3 linked regions of the Oryctolagus cuniculus genome follow. The protein of the gene in region 3 interacts with the protein of the main gene of each other region in a pairwise test. Links are inferred from orthologs where the notes say so. Each region holds a gene or a part of one and is shown on either strand. Other genes may lie near its edges.

What was found.
Region 1: the proteins of KRTAP26-1 (region 3) and CCNJL interact in binary tests that used the Homo sapiens proteins (3 or more experiments, as listed by UniProt). The two-hybrid records come from large-scale screens. The link is inferred for Oryctolagus cuniculus from reciprocal best matches to the Homo sapiens genes KRTAP26-1 and CCNJL.
Region 2: the proteins of KRTAP26-1 (region 3) and GDPD5 interact in a two-hybrid assay, tested with the Homo sapiens proteins (2 studies listed by BioGRID and IntAct). The two-hybrid records come from large-scale screens. The link is inferred for Oryctolagus cuniculus from reciprocal best matches to the Homo sapiens genes KRTAP26-1 and GDPD5.

What each region holds. Positions count from the first base shown.
Region 1 is NC_091437.1:47,211,580-47,215,809, reverse strand, and holds the start of CCNJL (cyclin-J-like protein), read left to right. Parts: upstream 1-1,430; 5' UTR 1,431-1,480; coding exon 1,481-1,543; exon of another isoform or gene 1,544-1,788; intron 1,789-2,313; exon of another isoform or gene 2,314-2,482; intron 2,483-4,230.
Region 2 is NC_091432.1:66,621,905-66,626,165, reverse strand, and holds the start of GDPD5 (glycerophosphodiester phosphodiesterase domain-containing protein 5), read left to right. Parts: upstream 1-1,461; 5' UTR 1,462-2,140; intron 2,141-4,261. UniProt on the Homo sapiens protein: Glycerophosphodiester phosphodiesterase that promotes neurite formation and drives spinal motor neuron differentiation.
Region 3 is NC_091435.1:15,091,277-15,094,126, forward strand, and holds KRTAP26-1 (keratin-associated protein 26-1), read left to right. Parts: upstream 1-1,359; 5' UTR 1,360-1,414; coding exon 1,415-2,056; 3' UTR 2,057-2,318; downstream 2,319-2,850. UniProt on the Homo sapiens protein: In the hair cortex, hair keratin intermediate filaments are embedded in an interfilamentous matrix, consisting of hair keratin-associated proteins (KRTAP), which are essential for the formation of a rigid and resistant hair shaft through their extensive disulfide bond cross-linking with abundant cysteine residues of hair keratins.

The sequences.
Region 1 (4,230 bases), on a different chromosome or scaffold from region 3:
TCTTCACGTGGGAGGAAATCGGTCAGATAATCAAGGCTCTTCGTTCGGCAACGGTTGTTTTTCGGTTAAACCCAGGATGGTGACTGCCCCTTTACATGCATTAAATCATTTAATAAAACATCTCCAGCAGCTTGTGGCAACTTTTATGCCCAGTTTACACGCAGGGGTCCCAGGCTCTGATTGGCAAAAATCACCCAGCTGCTGCTGGTGATGGTGGGGTTCGATCCCAAGCTAGTGAACCTCCAAAAATATCCCAAACACCAGGAGAGCTCCCTGCCGCGCGCTCAGCAGGGTGCTTCAAGAAAGCGCCTTTCGGAAAACAACCAAATTAAAAAGACAATGCTTTTCATTCCTGGTGTTGGTGGGTTTTCCTCCACTGTAAGGCGTGGGTCGATACTTCCCAGGGGGCACAACTACTACCCCTGACTTCTGCGCCTTTACCATCAGGGCTTTTCTGGAGCATTCGTGGGAACGGCCCTTTTGGAATCCCATCTCCCACGGCAGAACAAGCCTAGAAAGAAAGAAAGCAAAGCAGGTGGAATGTAAGCGTGGGCTGGAGCGGTGCGCGCGCGAGGCAGAACTTTCTGGGGGGCATCCTTCCCGCGTGGTTCACGCGCGGTGCGCGCAGGTGGAGCCGTGCCCTGCCCCCCCCCCCGCGCGCCCCCGCCCACTCCCCGCCCACACCGGCGAGTCTCCGCGAAGGTGAGAGAAAGCTTTCCGCGGAGGCGACGGCGGAGGGCGGACAGGAAGCCCGGCCAGAGCCGCGGAAAGAAAGACTCGGAGTCCCAGCCCCCCGCCCTGCGGGGCGCGGGGCGCTGCTGGCGCATGCGCGAGGCCCGGCCCCCAATTCCCCCAGCGAGGGAGGGAGGCCCCCGGCGGCCGGGATCCTGCGAGCCGCGGCGGGACCCGAGCGCACGCAGGGGCGCGGCGGCTGGGGCCAGCCGGGCTGTGGAGGCGGCCGGCGAGAGCGCGGAGCGGGCTGGGTCGGGGTCCAGCCGCGTGCAGCCAAGCCAGAGGGCACAGCCGGCTCAGCCCCGGAAGGGGCTGGGTGCCCGCAGCCCCCCACGCCTGAAGAGGGATGCGTGAGTCTCGCCCCGGGCTGGAGGGCAGGATGTGGGAGCAGGACAAAGGCTGGGCGGCGGGGGAGGAGTTCGGGACGGGCAAGCGGGTGGCCGCCGCAGGAGCCCCAGCTTCGGGCGGAGGAGGCAACTTTCTCTGCAACTTTTGCACAGGGAAGATAAAAATTCTGCAAGTTGTTGCACAGCTCTTGATCTATCGGGGGTCCAGCGAGCAGAAGGGAGGGGGCACCGCAACCTTTCCGGGGCGCGGAGCGGGGCAGGAGGGGGCGCCCGTCCGGGCCGTGCCGGGGACCGGCGAGGATATAGGGACTGTGGGCGTCGGAGCCGCTGAAGTTGCCCGTGTCCACGCAGGGAGCGCTCCGAGGGCCCGGTAGCCGCGGATCGCAGAGCTGCTCGCGGGGATGGATGAGCCGTGGTGGGAAGGGCGCGTCGCCGCGGACGTCCACTGCAGCCTTCGAGAGAAGGTCAGTTCCTCGCTCGCGTCTCTGCGCGGCTCACCCGCGGTTTAAAGTCCCCTCGGATCTCCATTCTCAGGAACGCGGGACTCTTACCTTCTCCGGAGTGTCTGGGGCCCGGGGATGGGCGTGCGAGGTGATATTAAGAATCGGAGAGCTGGATTGGGATTTCTGAGTAGGAGCCCGCGGACAGCTCACCTCGAAGGCGATATTTCCCGTGGTATTGCCGGCCAAGACTATTTTAAGTGGTTTCTCTAAAAAGTATTGTGGATTCGTTTTGGTGAGCACGTTAAAGGTATGGATATATACAGAAAGGTCTGCGTGTGATAAGTGATGCTGACTAACCATTTATTGGAACAATGAAGTAGCAGTGCTTTAAAAATAAATCTAAGTAAGCGTAGTGATGGTATGAGGAAATATTAGGTAAGTGGTGATGTAAGGAATACAGAATTAGGACCATATGGGGTGGATATGAATGCCAGTCCCATTCTGAGAACCTATATCACTGGGAGGCCTTGAGGAGAAAACAAGAACTCCCCTGCCGGTGTGGGGCGGCTGAAATGTGATCCCTGCGGGGCCTTCCCCTCTGGGACCGGAGGGCTGGCGGGCTCTGGGAAGGTGGAAAAGTACAGGTGGGCCTGAGTCGTCATCCCCGGGGCCAAGTATGGGAAGGGTGGTTTGGGAACAGGTGTGGCATTGGGAGTGGGTTGGTTTCCTAGGCTACCATAACAAAGTACCACAGGCTGGCCGGCTGCTAGCTGCAGCATTGATCCCCTTACCCTCTGGAGGCTGGGAGTCCAAGGTCAAGGTGCTGGCGGAGCCTGCTCTGTCTGCAGGCTGGAGCGGAGAATGTTTCCCTCTGTCTTCTGAAGTGGTGGTGGTGGTGGTGGTTGGCAATGCTGGGCTTCCTCGCTGTAGCCTCTGCTTCTGTCACCACGTGGCTCCATCTGTGTGTTTTTGTCTCTGCTTTCTGGTCTTACAAGGACACCAGTCTTTGGGAATGGGTCCGCCCTAATCCAGTGTGACCCTATTGTAATTGAACTTGCTGCATCTGAAAAGACCGCTTTCCAAGTAAGGTTATGGGCTGGCCGAGGATCCAGGTGGGCACAGTATTCAACCTAGGACAGGGGATGGAGAGTCTGTTTAGACAGATCCCACATTCAGCATTTTGTATCACCAGCTACCTAGAGTCTTTTGCGTAGTAGAGAATGGCTGCCTTCTTCTAGCTGAGTTCATGCTGTTTCTTCTTCCTGTCTCTACTGATCTATCCCCGTCTTGTGTCGCCTGGCCAACCTGTCGTTTTCCTTTTTTTCGGTTAGTCTTCTTCCCAGAACAGAATAGCCAAGGTACAGCACATCCTGGGCATCTGGAGAAGAAATTCAGGGCTGGATTGAGGAGCCAACTCCCAGCTCCGGCCCTGGGCCAGCCATTGCCAGCATTTGGGGAATGAACCAGCAATGGGAACTCCCCTCTGTCTGTCTCTCTGCCTATTTCTTTCAAGGTTTTTTGTTGTTGTTGTGTGTTTGTTTTTTAATTTAAAGCCAAAACCCAGGGCTGGCATTGTGGAGTAGCAGGTAAAGCTGCCTATGACACCGGCATCCCATATAGGTGCTATTTCTAGCCCTGACTGTTCGACTTCTGATCCAGCTCCCTGCTAATGGCCTGGGAAAACAGTGATTGATGGCCCAACTGCCTGGGTCCCTGCCACCCATGTGGGAGAACCAGAAGAAGCTCCTGGCTCCTGGCCTTGGCCTGGCCCAGCTCTGGCTGTTGCAGCCATCTGGGGAGTGAACCAAAGGATGGAAAATCTCTCTCTCTCTCTCTCTCTCTCTCTCTCTCTGTAACTCTAACTTTCAAAATAAATAAATCTTTAAAGAAAAAAAATCCAGAACCGTGCATGGTGCTGGAGGTGGAAGACCAGGCACTGTGATGTTGGTCCATCTCTGGACATGGTGGCTAAATGGGATTAGTGAGTGCCACCATGGAAATTGGCTTCCTTGCTTATCATAGGTTGGGTGGTTGCCATTTCTATTCATAGCTTGGCAGGAATGACTTGGACCTGATTTGACCCTTCCTAGAAGGAAGGATTTTTTTTTTCATTTTCATTTTATTTGGAATGCAGAAAGACAGAGACAGACCCACAGAAGTTGATCTTTGATCCACTGGTTCACTCCCCAAATGTACAGAAGAGTTGGAGCTGGGCCAGGCCAGAGCCAGGAGCCAGGACAGGGGACTCAGTGTGGGTCAGGACTCAGACCCAGGCACTGTGATTTGGGAAGCGAGTGTTCCGAGCAGCATCTTTTTTTTTTTTTTTTTTTTTTTTTGACAGGCAGAGTGGACAGTGAGAGAGAGAGAGACAGAGAGAGAAAGGTCTTCCTTTGCCGTTGGTTCACCCTCCAATGGCCGCCGCTGCAGCCGGCGCACCGCGCTGATCCTGGCAGGAGCCAGGAGCCAGGTGCTTTTTCCTGGTCTCCCATGGGGTGCAGGGCCCAAGCACCTGGGCCATCCTCCACTGCACTCCCTGGCCATAGCAGAGAGCTGGCCTGGAAGAGGGGCAACCGGGACAGAATCCGGCGCCCCAACCGGGACTAGAACCCGGTGTGCCGGCGCCGCAAGGTGGAGGATTAGCCTATTGAGCCACGGTGCCGGCTTCCGAGCAGCATCTTAACCACGCACCAGATGTTCTCCCTACGGGG
Region 2 (4,261 bases), on a different chromosome or scaffold from region 3:
ATGCCCCCCCCCATCCTCTGAGCCCTGGGGCCCACCCAGTCCCTCCTTTTTCCCTGCCAAGTAGCAGTATCTCTCTCTCTCTCTCTCTCTCTCTCTCTCTCTCTCTCTCTAATCATTTGAAAGGCTGAGCAAGAGAGACAGAGAAACAGGCACAGACACAGAGAGATCTGGGGCTGACTGGCTCACTCCCCAAATGTACCCAGCAGCGGGGCTGGGCCAGGGTGCTGTCAGGAGCCAGAAATTCAATCCAGGTCTCCCACGTGAGTGCTGGGGACCCAAGGACTTGAGCCATTACTTGCTGCCTCCCAAGGTGCACATCTCGGAACCTGGGATCTGAAGCAAAGCTGGACCTCCATCTCAGACACTCTAGTGTGGATGCGGGGGTCCCAAGTGGCCCTTAAGGCTGTGCCAAGCACCTGCCCCAAAGTCCTAAGCCCTCTTCTGCGGGTGAGGCTCCCGGGGCTAGAGAGGCGGAATAACCTGTTCAGGGCCACACAGCTTTGCCCTAGACTGCAACAGCGATTGGTGGATAGGATCGTGGGACTCTCCCGCGGCCTCTCCTTTGGCGGATCCCCGTCAGCTACAGGAGGTAGCTGCCGCCTCCGGCTCACGGCCAGGCTGTGCCACACCGCCTCCGTCCCTTCGCTCCCCAGCCCAATCGGTGTGGCGCATGTCGCCTCCGCGGCACATTCAACACGCAGTCCCGCAGTCAACCCCCGCGGCGCGGGCGGCGTGCGGGCCCGTGCCGGGCGCGAGGCCACCGCAGGTGCATCACGCCCGCCCTGGAGGTGAATGAGGTCCTGGCGCTCCTCCGCCCCGGCAGCACTGCTGAAACAACCGACACAACGCTTCTCTTGCAGGAGGGGCAGAGCTACGAGAGACCCGCGAGTTATTTCCAAAACTTATTTTTCATCGCTCCCCGAGATCGGAACATTTCACAGCCGTCATGTCTCACCTCTGCGCGCCGAGCGCTAGCGGCTGCGGAGCCGCAGGGTGAGGGCGGGTCCTGCCGCCCCCACTACCCGGGGACCCCCACCCGGGGCCCCTGTCCCGGGCAGCCCTCCTCCCCCGGCCCCCGCTCCCACCCCTCCACGCGGCAGTCCCCTGCTCAGATCCCAGACAGGCCAGCCCCATTCGCCCCCGCTCCATCCTGGTGTCCCCAGGTCGCCCCCTCCCCAGCTCGGTTCTTCCAGGATCCCCAGCCCCGCCATTGTTCTCCCGGCGACCGCGCCTCTCCGTCGTCCGCTCCGCCCTCCGAGGCGGCGTTCTCATCCCGCAGAGCTCCGCCCTTTTCCCACTCTCTGATTGGCCCCTGCTGCCGGGCCGCGCGGGGCCCGGGCAGGGGAGCCGGCGCGCGCCGCGTCCTCGCCCGTGGCCCCGCCGGGGGTGGGACCTCGTGGGACTCCGCCCCGTCCGGGCGGAGCCGCGCTCGCCAGTGCTCGGAGGCGGGGCGGGGCCGCCTCGGCTCTCCTCGGCCCGGCTCGGGCTGCCGCGCCGGTGGGGGTGGGCGGCGGGGATGACAGCGGCTGTGGCGGCGGCTGCGGCGCGCGGCTGAGCGAGCGGGGAAGAGGAAGTGGAGCCTCGGCCCGAGCTCCGGAGTCAGCTGGCGCGTGGAGCGCGGAGCTGGGGAGACTTCCCCGCCGGCGCCTGCCCTGCCCAGCCCCGGGTTCCGCGCCCAGACGCTCCTTTGCCCGCGGTCCGTGCTTGTGGCCGCGACGCCCGGGCGGGACGCTCCTGGCTCCGCCGTACGGCTCCACGCCTGCGGGTTGGTTGGCAGCCTTCCTACCACTGTGGGTCGGAGCCCCTAGCCCTCCGCCCCGAGATTAGCGCTTGGGTGGCCCCAGCCTCCGGACCTGGGCGCAGAGGAACCCGGACGCCCCCAATCTCGGGACGCCAAAGACCCGACCCTTCAGCTGCCTCGAATCAAGCGCTTCGGACTTGGAGCGCCCGAGAAGCCCCGGGCCGCGTCCAGCGCCCCAGGTGGGGTCCCGGCGGGCAGGACAGTCGGACTGAACCCCCGGACTGGTGCTGCGAGCTGTAGTCGCTGCCTCCCTCCCGCCCTGGGCTGGGGCTCGGGATTCAGCGCTCGCCCGGAGGAGAGCACCGGCTCGTTCCGTCCCGGCCAGAGCCGAGGCTGCAGGTGAGAATCCCTGATGTGGGGCAGGAGCAGTCTCCGACCTCATGGCCGCAGCACCGGGCGCGGCTGAGGGCGTGGGCGGGGGGCACGGGCAGAGGCTGGAACCTGCTCAGAGGGGGAGGGAGAAAACGGGCACTTATTGAGCGCCCATTGTGTGCAGGTCCGAGCCCCGCCCTATGCGCCTCATTGCTATCCCAGCTGGAGAGGTGCTGTGCATTGTCGTGTGGGCACTGACAGATGGGGGAAATTGAGGCTCGGCTGACTGAGCGACCCTGCTTTCTTCACTCGGGGTGGGGGGCAGGGGGAAGAAATCTGGGGAGGAGAGAGAGGAAAGGAAACCAAGGGGGAGGGGAGAAGTGAGAGGGCTGGGTAGCAAGCATGAGGCCGGGCCACCCGGCATCGAGACCTTGGCTTTCCCTGGCCAATCAGCTCCCAGGAAAGGCCACCCAGAGTTGAGGGCAGAGGTGGGACACTTGTCTCTGTGTGTCCAGGAAGGAGAGCAGCTGCTCCTGGCTCCTGAGTGCCATGCTCCCAGTCTCTGGACCTCTGTGGGGACACTCCCTGCAGAGCCCAGCAGAGTTGGGGGAGATGGGGTTCACTTTGCTCATGGGGACCCTGAGGCTCATGCAAGCAGGGGTGCCAGTTGCCACAGGTCCTAAAGCCAGTGAGTGGTTGGGCCAGAAACTGTCTCAGACACCCCCCACCCCCCAGTTAGCTTCTTCTGGGTGAGTGGCTGGCATCTGTCCCACCCTGATGTGACATTGGGGTGGCCCTGCGTGAGGCTGCTCTGAGAGTCTGCGTGGTTGGTGCTTGGGCCTGAGACATGTGGGCTGCCTCAGAGCCTATGACCCAGATGGCAGGTCTGACCTCAGTCCCTCCTGGGCAGGGAACCTGCAAGACTTCCCTGGCCCAGGAGCAGGTGGTCTTGCTCAGGTCTCAAGTCTGGGGGCACAGTTCCTGGTGTCTTGATTACCAGGCAGGGGCTCCTGCCACTGCCCTCAGGGGCTGTGCAGGCAGAGGAGTGTTGTGAGAGAGCCCTTGGCATGGACTTGGTAGGCTCTTGTTCTGGGTAGGGAGGCATGGGAATGTGGCCTTGGTCTGGGCCCTGTGGCCTTGGCTGGGACTAGTTAACCCCTGGGGTCAAGGGGAAGCCACCCTGGAAAGCCCCTGGGAGGTGGAGCAGAGTGGTGAGAGGTCAGCTGAAGGCTGGGGGCTCCGGTGTGGGGGCGGGGGCATGGGCTAGGGGAGTCACCAGAGAGGACTAAGGGGCTTGGGGCTCCCCCTCCCCCCGCCCTGTCTGAGGTTAAATCCTCATAATAATCCTGCATCTGAACAAAGCTCCTCTTTGATGAAATAGCTTCCCACCTGTGATCTCATTTCATGGTGTGGTGGGAAGAGCCTGGAAGTGGGAGCGAGGCAGAGCAGGCCTGGGACCTCTCAGTGGCGTCTCTGTGGCCCCAAGTCGCACCTGTAAAATGGGGTCAGGGCAAGCTCAGCTAATGGGGTGGCTGCCTGTAGCAGACTGCCAAGGGCTAGGAGCTTGTTGTGTTTGGCCTTGTTAGTACTGGCTAATCTTGGGTGGGAAACTGAGGCTTGGCAAGGTGAAACCACCTGCCCAGGGCCTTCAAATTTGCTTCGGGAGTGGTTTGAGTGCCAACCGCATACCAGGTGACCTGGCAGTTACCTTGTGGGCTAAGCAGCAGCCTGGAGCTCGCCTAACAGGTGAAGGCAATGCTAAGTCACACCAGGTGGGCGTGAGTCTGCCCCCTCCCCCGCCAGCCCAGTGCAGCGCTCTCCTTGAGCTCCTGTTGCTTCTCTAAAGTTAGAATACTTCCTTTCCCAGGTCAGTGAGGATTAAATGAGATACAGATACACAGTGCCTGGCCAATACCTATTTCCCTCTTCTGAAGAAAAGGAAGCCTGAATTTTGACCAGGAAGTCTGGGGAAGCATTCAGACTTGCCTTAGATTAGAATGCACGCTAAGGTTGCATCTCAGAGATGTGAATCTGTGCAGCTCAGTCTCCTGGGGAGGCAGACTCCTGTCTCCTAGCCTTCTAGAATCTGTCTGGAGCCATTGGCAAGGGGCTTCACATTCTGACACCCACCACTTACCCTGCTGGCTT
Region 3 (2,850 bases):
GACCTAAAATACTGAGTAGCATTCACACATTAGTACAGGACTGCAAAGAACATATCATTTTATTTTCAAATCCCTACCTCTGATAGTAAAATTGTCATATATTTCCCATAAAGAAAATAATCTTCTACCTCAAAAGTTCTCTTCCTGGACAGTTGGAAATTCAACATATGTGGGTGTACCATTTGAACATTAAAGCAGAAGTGTTGTGATAGAAATTGACTTTTCAACCAAGCAGAATTGGAATTTAAACCTATCAGATAATTCAAATTCCATTAAAATAGTTGCTGGAGGGAGGTACTGGATATGTCAACATGAAAAATGGAGTGGGGTGGTTATAATATACCATAATTAAGCATTTTAAAACCATTTTTTCCAGAATTACAAATCTTCAAGTGTCTTTCAAAGTACTCAAACTTAAGAAAATGACACTTATTCTTATGCAATCACTTATATAAAGCATTTTAGAAACTCTCTTTTGGAAACTGACATCAGAACCAATGCAGGAGGCAAAACAAATCCACATGTGAGTCTGTGTATCTTACTTATTTTACCAAGAATGATAGCTTTCAGTTGTAGTATGAGTAATCACGAAACACATAAGTCTGGAATAATCATGTAAAATATCATGTTTTCCAGCTTTCTTTAAGGAGTTTTATGTGGATTTTTTGTTCATACTAGGATCCATAATTTTAATCGAGCCCAACCTCATTATCTATATTTAAGATCTTAAAACACAAACCAGACTTTCTGTTTGAGTTATTTATTAAAGTTAATAAAAAGAGCATTTATTTTTTGAACAAAGATACTTTGCTATGAAGTTAATCTGTACTGGGATTCTGAAATAAAGTGAGCACATTGAAATTTTGTATAGTTGTAGTAGTTTCAGCTTTTCCTGCCATTTAGATTATAGGAGTTTTCACCTCCCTTATAACACTCTTGGTTCCAAGTGACTTCATGTGAGTAATTTCCAAAGAGAACTGGATTTTCTTTCAGATAAAGAAAATTTGCCCCTGTTTAAAAAAATGATACAATTTTTAAAAACAATTCCAAGAGGGGGATTTTAAGAATTTGCCATGGTTATTGTAACTGGAATAAGTTCATAGCCTTCAAAAGTGTCTGTTTTGGTTGGATAATTTAAGAAGAAATCTTATTAAAATCTAGTCACGCAGGCTTCTCAATATATTTAATAAATGGAACGCATTGTAAGGAACATCCAATTTTATCGGAAGTAAGAGCGCTTCTTCCTGCACTCTAATGAAGAGTTCTGATGCAGTCTCATCCAACCAGGAGGAAGAGTCTGTTTACAAAACCCTCACCCTCTAGGGTATATAAAGGGCCAAGGCAAGTGGGGATCAGAATGAAACTTGCATTCAATTCTTTCCCTCAAACACAGCCTGCTCTCAAAACCCTCGCTATGTCTTGCCAGAACTACTCTCGCAACTGCAGCTCAGGCTCCCCCGGAAATTCCTGCCACATCCCTGCCTCCTCCTCCGTTGCCGGCTGCTCTACAAATGTGAGCTGTGGAGATGTCTTCTGCTTACCCAGCAGCTGTCAAGATCGTGCCTGGCTCACGGACAAAAGCCAAGAGACCTACATTGAACCAACCAGCTGCCAGCCAACCAACTGTGTGCCCAGCAACTGCGCAACCTCCTGGAGATCTTCCACTATTTACTATGTGCCCAGACCCAGCCTAGGAACCAGTTTTATTCCTGCTTCTTCCTGTGTCTCCAGCTCCTGCCTCCCAGTATCCTGTAAACCTCCGAGCTATGTGTCCAGCAGTTGCCGTCCGCAGAACACCCTGATCAATACTTGCCAACCTATAGGTAGCGTGCTCAGTGCCTACCGCCCTTTGACCTCTCTGTCCAGCAGCTGCCGACCCCAGAGCCTCCTCACTTATGGATGCCAACCCGTAGGTTACTTGGCCTGTGGTCCTCAAGCAGTTCATATCGTCTCCAGCAGCCCAAGACCTCTGCCGCCTCCATCCAGCGGCTGCCAACCTGTGACCCACGTGTATGGCACATGTCATCCATCTTGCTCTGTCCAGGGAGGCCAGTAGTGTGCTTGTTCCAGCAAATCATCATGCTGAAGACTCAGGATATAAATTCAAACTCCATGGACTTCTGGTTCTTTCTTAGTGGTGTCTGATTGCTGGTTGGGTGTTTCTACTATAGCTGATCTAATGTGATTTACTACTTTCACATTTTCATCTTTCCTTGATGTTAAAAAAATTGGTTTACAATGTGTCTCAATGTTGCCTGAGTGTGGGAAGCATGTATTTGTTCGCACTATAATAAACAAGATCATGTCAAAGCTAAGAATCTGGTTCATTGGTTTTCTTTCATTCCTTCATTCTGACACAGAAATGGTGAACCCAGACTCCTTATAAGATTTGTGAATAAGACAAAGTGCTGTGTAACAATGTGCTCTTACTGATAGTAGAGAGATGATTTGATGGTGTGATTTCTCAAGCTGTTTTTTAGACTTCTGATGCTATGTCCTTGAGAGATCCAGGAATCCTTGGTGGAATGTGTTTTGCAAAGGCAAGATGAGGAATTATATCTTTTAGCTCTCTCTTCCACTGAATATCCTTCCACTGGAATGTTTTTTCTCATTACAAACCTAACCATAAGCTTTTACTTAATCCTTAGATGACATTGTATGATCGATTCCCATAAGGTAAAAGCCCAAATCCCTTACCATGATACTGGATTCCTTCATTGTCTTCCTCCTATTATTTGATTGAATCCCCTTTTGCTGTGTATCAAAAATCCAATTCTGAATTACACATAGATCCCCAACATGATTTTGAAAATCATCCTTTTTGCATATGCCATCAACAAGATTAGGATC